2 linked regions of the Ovis aries genome follow. Each later gene encodes a partner of the first gene's protein in a complex. Links are inferred from orthologs where the notes say so. Each region holds a gene or a part of one and is shown in the gene's direction. Other genes may lie near its edges.

Region 1 (3,798 bases):
TGAATCACACCATTTCACGTGTGCTTTCTTTTGAAGAAGAGGCTTTCTTTTTTCCTCCTCTGAAAGTGGAGCAGCGTCCTCTTTTCCCCTTGCTCACTCTAATCCTTAGTCAAGGCTGAAAGTTTATTCTGATGTAGCTTTGGGGACGCTCAAGCAGTATTGAAATCCCAAGTCATAATCTGAAACATGAAGTCCGCAAGCAGAAAGCGTGGGGTTTCGAGATTTGTATATTAAAGGTCTCACCTCCACCCTCAATCCTATAAAATGTGGTTCTTTCATATGTAATTCACAGAATCTGTGATTGGATCAAATTCTCTGAAGCTTGTGCATTTTGGTTCTTATTCTTAGTAATTGATACTGAACAAATGTAAAGTCTTGGATTATCTTAAGCTTGGAAATTTCTCTTTGCTTTTGAATTAAATGGGTGAGCAGACTAGTACATTGAACACCCCCTGGTAACTTCTGTTCTGAAATTTTAGTCAGTAAGTTAGCATATTGAAAGTTATTGGCCCAATCACCTACCCTGAGAGTAATTTACATATCATCATCACCATCATCATCATTAATGAACACCCGTGTTATTCAAAGGAGTTTGCATCTGCTCTGTTTCTTAATGCACTCTGTCTAGTTTGAAGACACGCACTAGGCCTGGGCTGCCATTCGTCACAGTGGAATGGGATTCAAGCTTTGAACCTCTTTTTGGATCAGCTGCTTTGAATGTATTGCAGTCTCGTTCATTCTTTGTAAGTGTCTGCTTGGCGAAAAGATTGAAATACATTTCTGCATTTGAAAATGAATCTTGACAAGTGTAAACTGGTGGGAATTTTTGGTCGCCTTCCTGGGGTTCTTTTTATTTTGCTGGTCTCCCTTCCTCCCGAGGGCTCCAGGGAGGGTGGAGCAAGCCACTTAGCTCCAACCCCCAGAAGCAGACACCTCTGAAGCCCAGTTGGTGTGAAAGAAGTTAACAAGAGGCTGGCTATGCCAGCCGGAGCATCGTTAACTTGGCTTTTGTAGTTGCCCTTGAAACTAAGGTCACGTAGCTTTGGCTTTTGGAGGGCGGGAGAGGTGACAGTGGGTAGGAGGAGAGAGTCCGCTTGCCCAGCTGAAGTGGCTGCACGTATCTGGGTCCTGTAGCTACTCTTTTTATCTCTGTTTCCTAAGAGTAGGCTTTCTCAACCGTCAGCCTAACACGTTTTTGTGGACCGGTCTGGTGGAAACCCCTGGGACTCAGGTGCGGATGGAAGGTATTTGCAGATGATGAAAGAGAACTGGGTTGAACTAAATTGGTATTGGGGAAGATTTCACTGACTTGCAGTGTCTCTCTCCTCTAGAGGTTGCAGCAGCAGCAGCAGCGGCAAGGCCAGCGAGCGGCTGCCGCAGCACCTTGATTCCTGAGCCCACCGCCGGCTGAAGGCATTGCTGCAGGCAGTCCATGCTCGTAGAGGAAGGGTGCAGATGGGATTAACGTCCACATGGAGATATGGAAGAGGACAGGGGATCGGCACTGTAACCATGGTCAGCTGGGGTCGCTTCCTCTGCCTGGTTGTGGTCACCATGGCAACCTTGTCCCTGGCCCGGCCCTCCTTCAATTTAGTTGACGATACCACGGTTGAGCCGGAAGGTAAGTTATCTCATTTCGCTCTCAGGGTACCAAGTTTGGGGATTTGTCTGGGGGAAGTGGCAGTGAGGTCAAGGCCTGTTTGAGAATCAGCTGCCCCTTGCGTTGTAAAGGAGACCTCTAAGAGCGGAGCTTGTGGCTCTCTGCCCCCTGCAAGCCAGGGATTACAAGAGAAGGTTCTCAGCTGTCACGCTGAGGGCAGGGTGGTGTAGTTCGGTGGTTTCTTGGCGTGTGCGTTTTTCTCTGTGCTGGGTAAGGGAGGCGGCTGGCAGTTCATCCAGTGCCAGGAGAGCCGTGGCAGGCAGCTCAGAGTTGAATGCCATCTACCACTCCCTGCTTACCCGAGAGAGTCTTGCTCACAATGTAAAGGATTGCAGTTTGCCGGCAAAAGGAGTCATGCAGGGAAATTGCCAACCTCTGAAATGCTGACATTTTATTTTCATTGTCTAAGGAGAGAAAGCTTCTGAACTTCAGCGTGGAGAGGGTTGAGACATTACATTCTTTTTAGCCCTTGTAATTCATAATACTTAAGCCACACGTCACAGAGCAGCAGATTCTATTTTAGGTCAATTTGAAATGTACCTGGGCCTTTCCCGAATCTCTGAGAACTTCCAGATCTAACAGGGTGTGCGTTGGTGTTTCAGCTGTGGAAATTGCACGCAGGCAACACATTATGCATTTTGGAACATGCAGAAAGGCATGAGGCCAGTTGTGAGCACAAAACTCACAAGGGCTGAATTTTCCCGCCAGGCAGACTTGGAACCTCTTCTCCTGGGTCCTTCCGCGACGTCGGTAGCCCAGCCTCAACTTGGTGCCGCACGAGATCTGTCATCAGTAGGGAATATTGGTAGCTGAGTTATTTTTCGAGTGGTAATCCGAGAATAAAACGGCAGATCCTAGCACTCATCGCCACTTAATGAACCTGTTTGCTGAGAGCCCACCTGGTGCCTGCTGAGCTCTGGGGGCCTGCGTGGGCTGGGGTCGGTCAGCTGTTCTGGAAAAGACCCTGCTCGGAAGAAGACCGCAAGCCTGTCCAGGACCAGACCGGGAGGGGAGGGCTGTGTCCTCATCCGAGGGGGGCTCCCACTGAGACCCTGAGTCATGCAAGGATAAAGGCATATCTTTTTTTTTCTAAAATGGAGGCGCTTCTTACTAGAAGCAGCTCAGCAGTTGCGAGTGGAAGCTTGTGCCCTTTTTCTTACCTAGAGGTATGGAGGTTTGTAGTAAACAGGTGTAGTGACGCTGCAGTGGCTTCCAAGTCTCCGGTAGGGAACCTGGTAGGAGTTTGCGTCTGAAGTGTTCACAGGCTCTGGCTCCAGGGATTATGGAACTGCCTCCTGGTGACATGAGCTCCAATGTCACTTGCAATGGGGATGCATGTTTAAAGGGCTTAACTTGAGGGAAAAGGTTCCCAGTTTCTGAAAGTCATGCCTGTACGTCTTTAATTTTGCTAATAATTAAAATGGATGTTTCTCTAATTGCCGGTTTTCCCTGGGGTGCATGGCTCAGTACACACACTGAGGCTGCTGAACAGGAGGGTTTCCTGCAGTGTGAGCCCAGGAATGGCCTAGGTTAGGAAGAAAATGTCATTTCTCATTTCGACTTTCAGGGCAGCGTGATTGGGAGTTTATTTCAACATAAAGTGTAAAATGGTCCTGGAGGACTTCTTTTTATCGTCTTTAATTATTGAAGGGAATTTAAAAATATATGTGCACATACTGGTAGGAAGAGGTGAGGCAGGGATGGGGAGGGGGTGGAGACGGACGAGGACGCAGTACCCCCCGGCAGTTCTTTGTGTAGAAATGTGCATTCAACAATGTGAGTGTTGTTGGAGGCTGGTCTTCCCAGCCTGGCATCTGTGAATGCACTTGGGGGTTGAGGGGAGGTGCCTGAATTCTCTGAAACGGGAGGTCATATTTTGGGGTTCACAGCTCCTATGAGGTTTGCGTCCAGAGTTGTGAGAGGTTTTTTTCAAAGGTTTAGTGGAAGCTGTGCAAAACCCTGGAAAGAGGTGGCTTTGGAAAAAGCACACAACCCCCTGGATCTCAGTTTCCTTTTCTGTCATCTGAGGGCTGGATTAGATAATCTTCAGGGTCTCTTTATTAATGTTAAATGAATATTGATATCTTCAGAAGCCTTCTGATGACCCGCCTCAAAAAGGTTGCTAGGAGATTTAAGTG
Region 2 (4,481 bases), about 19 Mb from region 1:
CCTGAGGCCACCCCAGCCCCTCCAGCCCAATCCCCAAGGACATGGGGGCTGGCAGTAGGGCAGGGGAGGTCTTGGGCAAGGGCAGCAGCTGGGCAAAGCATCAGTGGCTCCACCTGCTCCCTAGAATTTTCCGTCTCAGGGCATCTCTGCCCATCCAAGCTGCTCTCAAAGAAGCACCACACCTCGGGAGTTCCTGAAGCCCCTGGAGGAAGCAATGGGTGGCTGGGAAAGGCTTAGACAACTCACTACCTTCTTTGATACTTCCCCCTCCCCCAGGGTTGACAAAGCACCAGTCCAGGTTTAGCACACAGTAGGTGTGTAAATACCTGTTCAGTGCACAAATAATGGGAGTCTGAGCGAAAAAGACTAGGCAACCTGGATCTAAGCCTCTTTCCTGGAAAAGCAGCTGAGGTTATTTTTGCGCCCACTGCCTGCCGCTTTGGGGAGGGCATGGTGGTGGCAAGTGACTGGGGTTTTCCCTATGGGTGGGCTCTCTCCTTTTTGGGTGGTGTAGTCAGGCTTCAGTCTAGCGTGTTGGGGGCGGGAGGGACAGGAGCAGGGGTGATGGTGATAATGAGGGCAGGAAGCAGGAAAGGAGATGTTTCTCGATCTCAGGGCCTTCTTGGTGACTGAGCGATGCAGGAGAGACCGGCAAGGCAGGGTACTCAGCAGAAAGATGGGGGTGGTTGTCGGCTCCCGGTCTCACAGGCGCGCACTGCCAGAGGAAAGCGCACAAGCGTTCACCCCAGTGTTGGAGGCTACTTGCAGGCGGCAGCCCCAGACAGACAAAGCACACAGTAGGTGGCTCAGAGAACCGCTGTCTAGCTTGAGGCTTAAGCGGACCGGGTCCCACGGTGGAGACCGGGCGCCTTCCCACTCGGGCGCCCGGGGGGTCCAGGAAGCCCCAGCAGAGGGTCTCGGGACTCCACAGGGTGGGCGGCCCGATGCGCCCCCATCCCCGCACGCCTGGACCCCAAGAACGCGCAAGGGGACAAGTCCGGGATGCGGAGAGGGGCCCAGACAGGCAGCCCTCGCCCCTTGCAGCGGGTCCCCAGACCCCTCCCCTCACCCAGACCCCCAATCCCCGACCCTCCGACCGCCCCGCCCCGGTCCGCCCCGCCCCCGCCCCGGGCTGCGTCCGGGCCCCCGCTCCCAGCCGGGGGCTGCGGGCTCCGGCCGCCCGCCCCGCGCTCCCCCCTCGCGCCCGGTGCGGCGCCCCCCGCCCCCACCCCTCCCCCTCCCTTCCCACTTACCCACCCCCCCTGCCGGCCCGTTACCCTCCCTCCCGCTCCGGCTCCTCAGCAGCCAGCGGCCAACGGCTCCGGCTGCGGCGCAGAGGCACTCGGCGCGGCGCGGCGAGCTCGACATTCCCTGGGACCCGCGGAGCTGCGTCCCGATCGCCCCGGCTCCCGGCCTCGAGCCACCCTCGAGCCCCCCTCCGCCGCCGCCGCCCTCGGCTCGTCGGTCCGCTGCCTCCCGCGAGCCGGCGAGATCCCGCCGGGGCTGTGGGTGCTCCCCGGCCGCGCGCCATGGGCAGCCCCCGCTCGGCGCTGAGCTGCCTGTGAGTACCGCCGTCCCGCGCCCCCGGCCGCGCGCCCGCCGGCCCGCCCGCCACTCACCCCGCGCCCCTCTCTCCCCGCCCGCTTTTGTCTCCCACAGGCTGTTGCACTTGCTGGTTCTCTGCCTCCAAGCCCAGGTAAGGCGCACTGCGCCGGGGCCGGCGGGGCACGCCGGGGGGCGAGGTCGGGCAGGCGGGGGCAAGAGGACCGACCCCGCGGCCGCGCGGCGGGCTGGAAGTGCTGGGAAGCATCTTAGAACAGCAACCCCTAACTATCCCGAGGAGGGGTTAAGGACCAGAGAGGTAGCGCCGGCCTCAGGTCACACAGCCTGTGAGCCGCGCGAGGCTAGAACCCGAGGTTTCGGAGTCCGGCGCTGTCTCCCACGCCTCCCAGCCCGGTGGGGGTGGTTGGGGAACTCGGCGGCAGCCAGTCCCGGCCGCGCCGAGGAAGGGGGCATTCGGGGCAGGGGGCGTTCGATGTCAGAGGTCCGGTGACGGCCTCAGGGACCCTCTCCGCGGCTCTCTGGAGAGACTTGCGGCGGGTCTGGCCGAAAGACCAGGTGCCCAGGGCTTCTGCGGTCTCCACATTTGCTCCGTGAATTTGTCTTTATAAATGTCAGGGGTCGGGCCGCGCTGCCTCCCGACTTAAAAGCGCCCTGCTCTTCTAGGAAGGCCCGGGCGGGGGGCCTGCGTTGGGCAGGGAGCTCGCTTCCCTGTTCCGAGCTGGCCGGGAGTCCCAGGGTGTTTCCCAACAGGTGGGTCCAGATCCTTCCCCATCCCGGGCGCATCCATGCTAGACTGGGTCTGTCCGACTTTCCTGGGTAGGGTGGGGGTGGTCCGAACTGGCATGTTGGGGGGACCCCAGCCCCTGCCGGCTGCCTGGGGCAGTGGAGGGAGGTGCCGGGTGATGGGGGCCACTCGGGCCCCTGGGCAGGGTAGCATTATAATGGCGTGTTGTGTATTTTTCAATTTCCTAAAGGTAACTGTTCAGTCCTCACCTAATTTTACACAGCATGTGAGGGAGCAGAGCCTGGTGACAGATCAGCTCAGCCGCCGTCTCATCCGGACCTACCAACTCTACAGCCGCACCAGCGGGAAGCACGTGCAGGTCCTGGCCAACAAGCGCATCAACGCCATGGCAGAAGACGGGGACCCCTTCGGTAAGGAGCTGCACTGCGCTGGGGTTAAGGTAGCCTGCGGAGCACGCCCCTCCTCCCCAGGCTGGCCTGCTGTGACGGGACCCAGCAGTCGCATCTGCGCGCTGAGCTGAGGCCTGTAGGCTCCCCAGCTCAGAAGGGAAGGAGTTAAGCCGACAAACATCTTGGGGGTCAGCTGGAGAAGAGAGGGCTGGGGAAGGGACCCTGGGGAGTACTTGGCCCATAGGTGCCCTTTCCCTGCCCAGCAGATGAATGAATCCAGGAATCTCCCTTTCCACCTCCCCCTCTCATACCCCTCCCCACTGCAGGTGGAGGCAGAGGGTTCAGGGGGAGGGGGCCCAGGTTTAAGGGAAGCTCTTGAAAGAGGATATGTCACCAGGGCCCACAAAAGGAGAGTGGGAAAGAGAAGGGAGAGAAATCCCCTCAACTCTCCCAGGTTGGGGGGGGGGGCGGTGTACTGTGAACCTTAAATACTTTGATCAGGAGGGTCAATTACACATGGGGACTAGGCTAGGAAAGGGGCCTTCCCCACTTCACTTGTCCAGGAACCCAGGCGGTCGGTCAGAGCGGGGCTCCTGGCTCCCGGTGGGGTGGTGAGTACAGGGAGCTACTGTGGGGTGGAGAGGCTGAGGACTGATTGATTTCTAAAACATTCAATATTCCTGCCTTGAAACAAGGCCAATTTCCAGAGTCCTGGATGTACCAAGAGAAAAGCAAGTCCTCTGGGCGGCTGGTGTTGTTTTTAGAGAGCGATTATTGTGAGTTTAAAAACCTTTAAATAATGACCAAGTTAAACAAGCATGAAAGGAGAGGGGAAGACTCTATTAAAATGTAATAAAAAGGTGAAGCATTTTAAGAGCTAAGAAGAAAAATGAAGAATGATATAAAACAGAAAAAGAACGAGCCTTTTTTTCAGATGTGGAGTTTGAAAGGAGTTGCAAGTCTGTAAATGTTAAAAAAGAGGTTCAAGATTGTTCTCTATGAATCTCTGGAGAGACCCCCGCGTCTGGCAGAGCGATTAAAACTCTTCTTACTTTCACCTTTTTTAACATTTCCTGAATACTTTCTCCTCTTCTCGAGCCAGTTTGGGGGATCGAGTATGTCTCGCTGCATTTTTTCTGCATCGACGTAGCTGACTTCCCTTCAAAGCTGGAGAAGGAGACATAATTTTCCTGGGATAAATCTGTCACTGGGGTGGAAGAATAGGTTTGAAAATGTTAAGCTTTCCAAAAGCCCGGTCGGGAAAGCCGCTGTAAACTGCTGCCCCAGCTCCCCAGCTCCATCCAGGAAGGAGAGTGGGGGCTTTCTGCAGTGGGGGTGGGGGTGGGGGTGGCCTGCCCGGTGGCCGAGCTCCCCTGCTGGGCTGGTAGGGCCAGCCTGCCGCCCCTTTGTCCCTTCAAACTGGCTGCTCGTTGCCCTTCTCAGCTTCCAAGGAAAGGGAATGAATGCCTGGCCCCTCCTGGGTTTGCTCCATTGGAGCAAATGGTCCAGCATCCTCGGGGTTTGGGGAGCGAAGAAGAAGAAGCTAAGCTGGTCATGGGGGGATTCATCTTCAGACATCAGAGGTCTGATGCCCACTTCTCTTCTTACAGTTATAGGAGGCTTCCCAGGTTCCCTGGTCCCTGCCTGGTGGGCAGGAGCAGGAGCTGGAGGGCCCAAGAGCAGAGGCTTAGGGTGTATAGCCAGGACAGGTAGAATCTGGGGGAGAATGGCAGAGAAGTCCCAGGGGCTTCCTTATGGGTCCCAGGAAGGGACAGAGGGCTCCA

Evidence for each region.
Region 2: the proteins of FGFR2 (region 1) and FGF8 are in contact, whole or in part, in a crystal structure (PDB 2FDB), measured with the Homo sapiens proteins. The link is inferred for Ovis aries from reciprocal best matches to the Homo sapiens genes FGFR2 and FGF8. Residues at the interface, in NP_000132.3 of Homo sapiens: Glu160, Lys161, Glu163, Lys164, Leu166, His167, Ala168, Val169, Pro170, Asn173, Asp247, Val249, Arg251, Ser252, Ser282, Asp283, Ala284, Gln285, Pro286, His287, Ile288, Gln289, Ile291, His293, Leu309, Val311, Leu312, Lys313, Ala314, Ala315; in NP_149354.1 of Homo sapiens: His53, Val54, Gln57, Asp62, Leu64, Ser65, Arg66, Leu68, Ile69, Arg70, Tyr72, Tyr75, Arg77, Gly80, His82, Val106, Glu107, Thr108, Thr110, Phe111, Gly112, Ser113, Val115, Thr148, Glu149, Ile150, Val151, Leu152, Glu153, Asn154.

What each region holds. Positions count from the first base shown.
Region 1 is NC_056075.1:41,084,310-41,088,107, reverse strand, and holds part of FGFR2 (fibroblast growth factor receptor 2), read left to right. Parts: intron 1-628; 5' UTR 629-743; intron 744-1,331; 5' UTR 1,332-1,455; coding exon 1,456-1,621; intron 1,622-3,798. UniProt on the Homo sapiens protein: Tyrosine-protein kinase that acts as a cell-surface receptor for fibroblast growth factors and plays an essential role in the regulation of cell proliferation, differentiation, migration and apoptosis, and in the regulation of embryonic development.
Region 2 is NC_056075.1:22,294,018-22,298,498, reverse strand, and holds the start of FGF8 (fibroblast growth factor 8), read left to right. Parts: upstream 1-1,629; 5' UTR 1,630-2,348; coding exon 2,349-2,718; intron 2,719-4,481. UniProt on the Homo sapiens protein: Plays an important role in the regulation of embryonic development, cell proliferation, cell differentiation and cell migration. Required for normal brain, eye, ear and limb development during embryogenesis.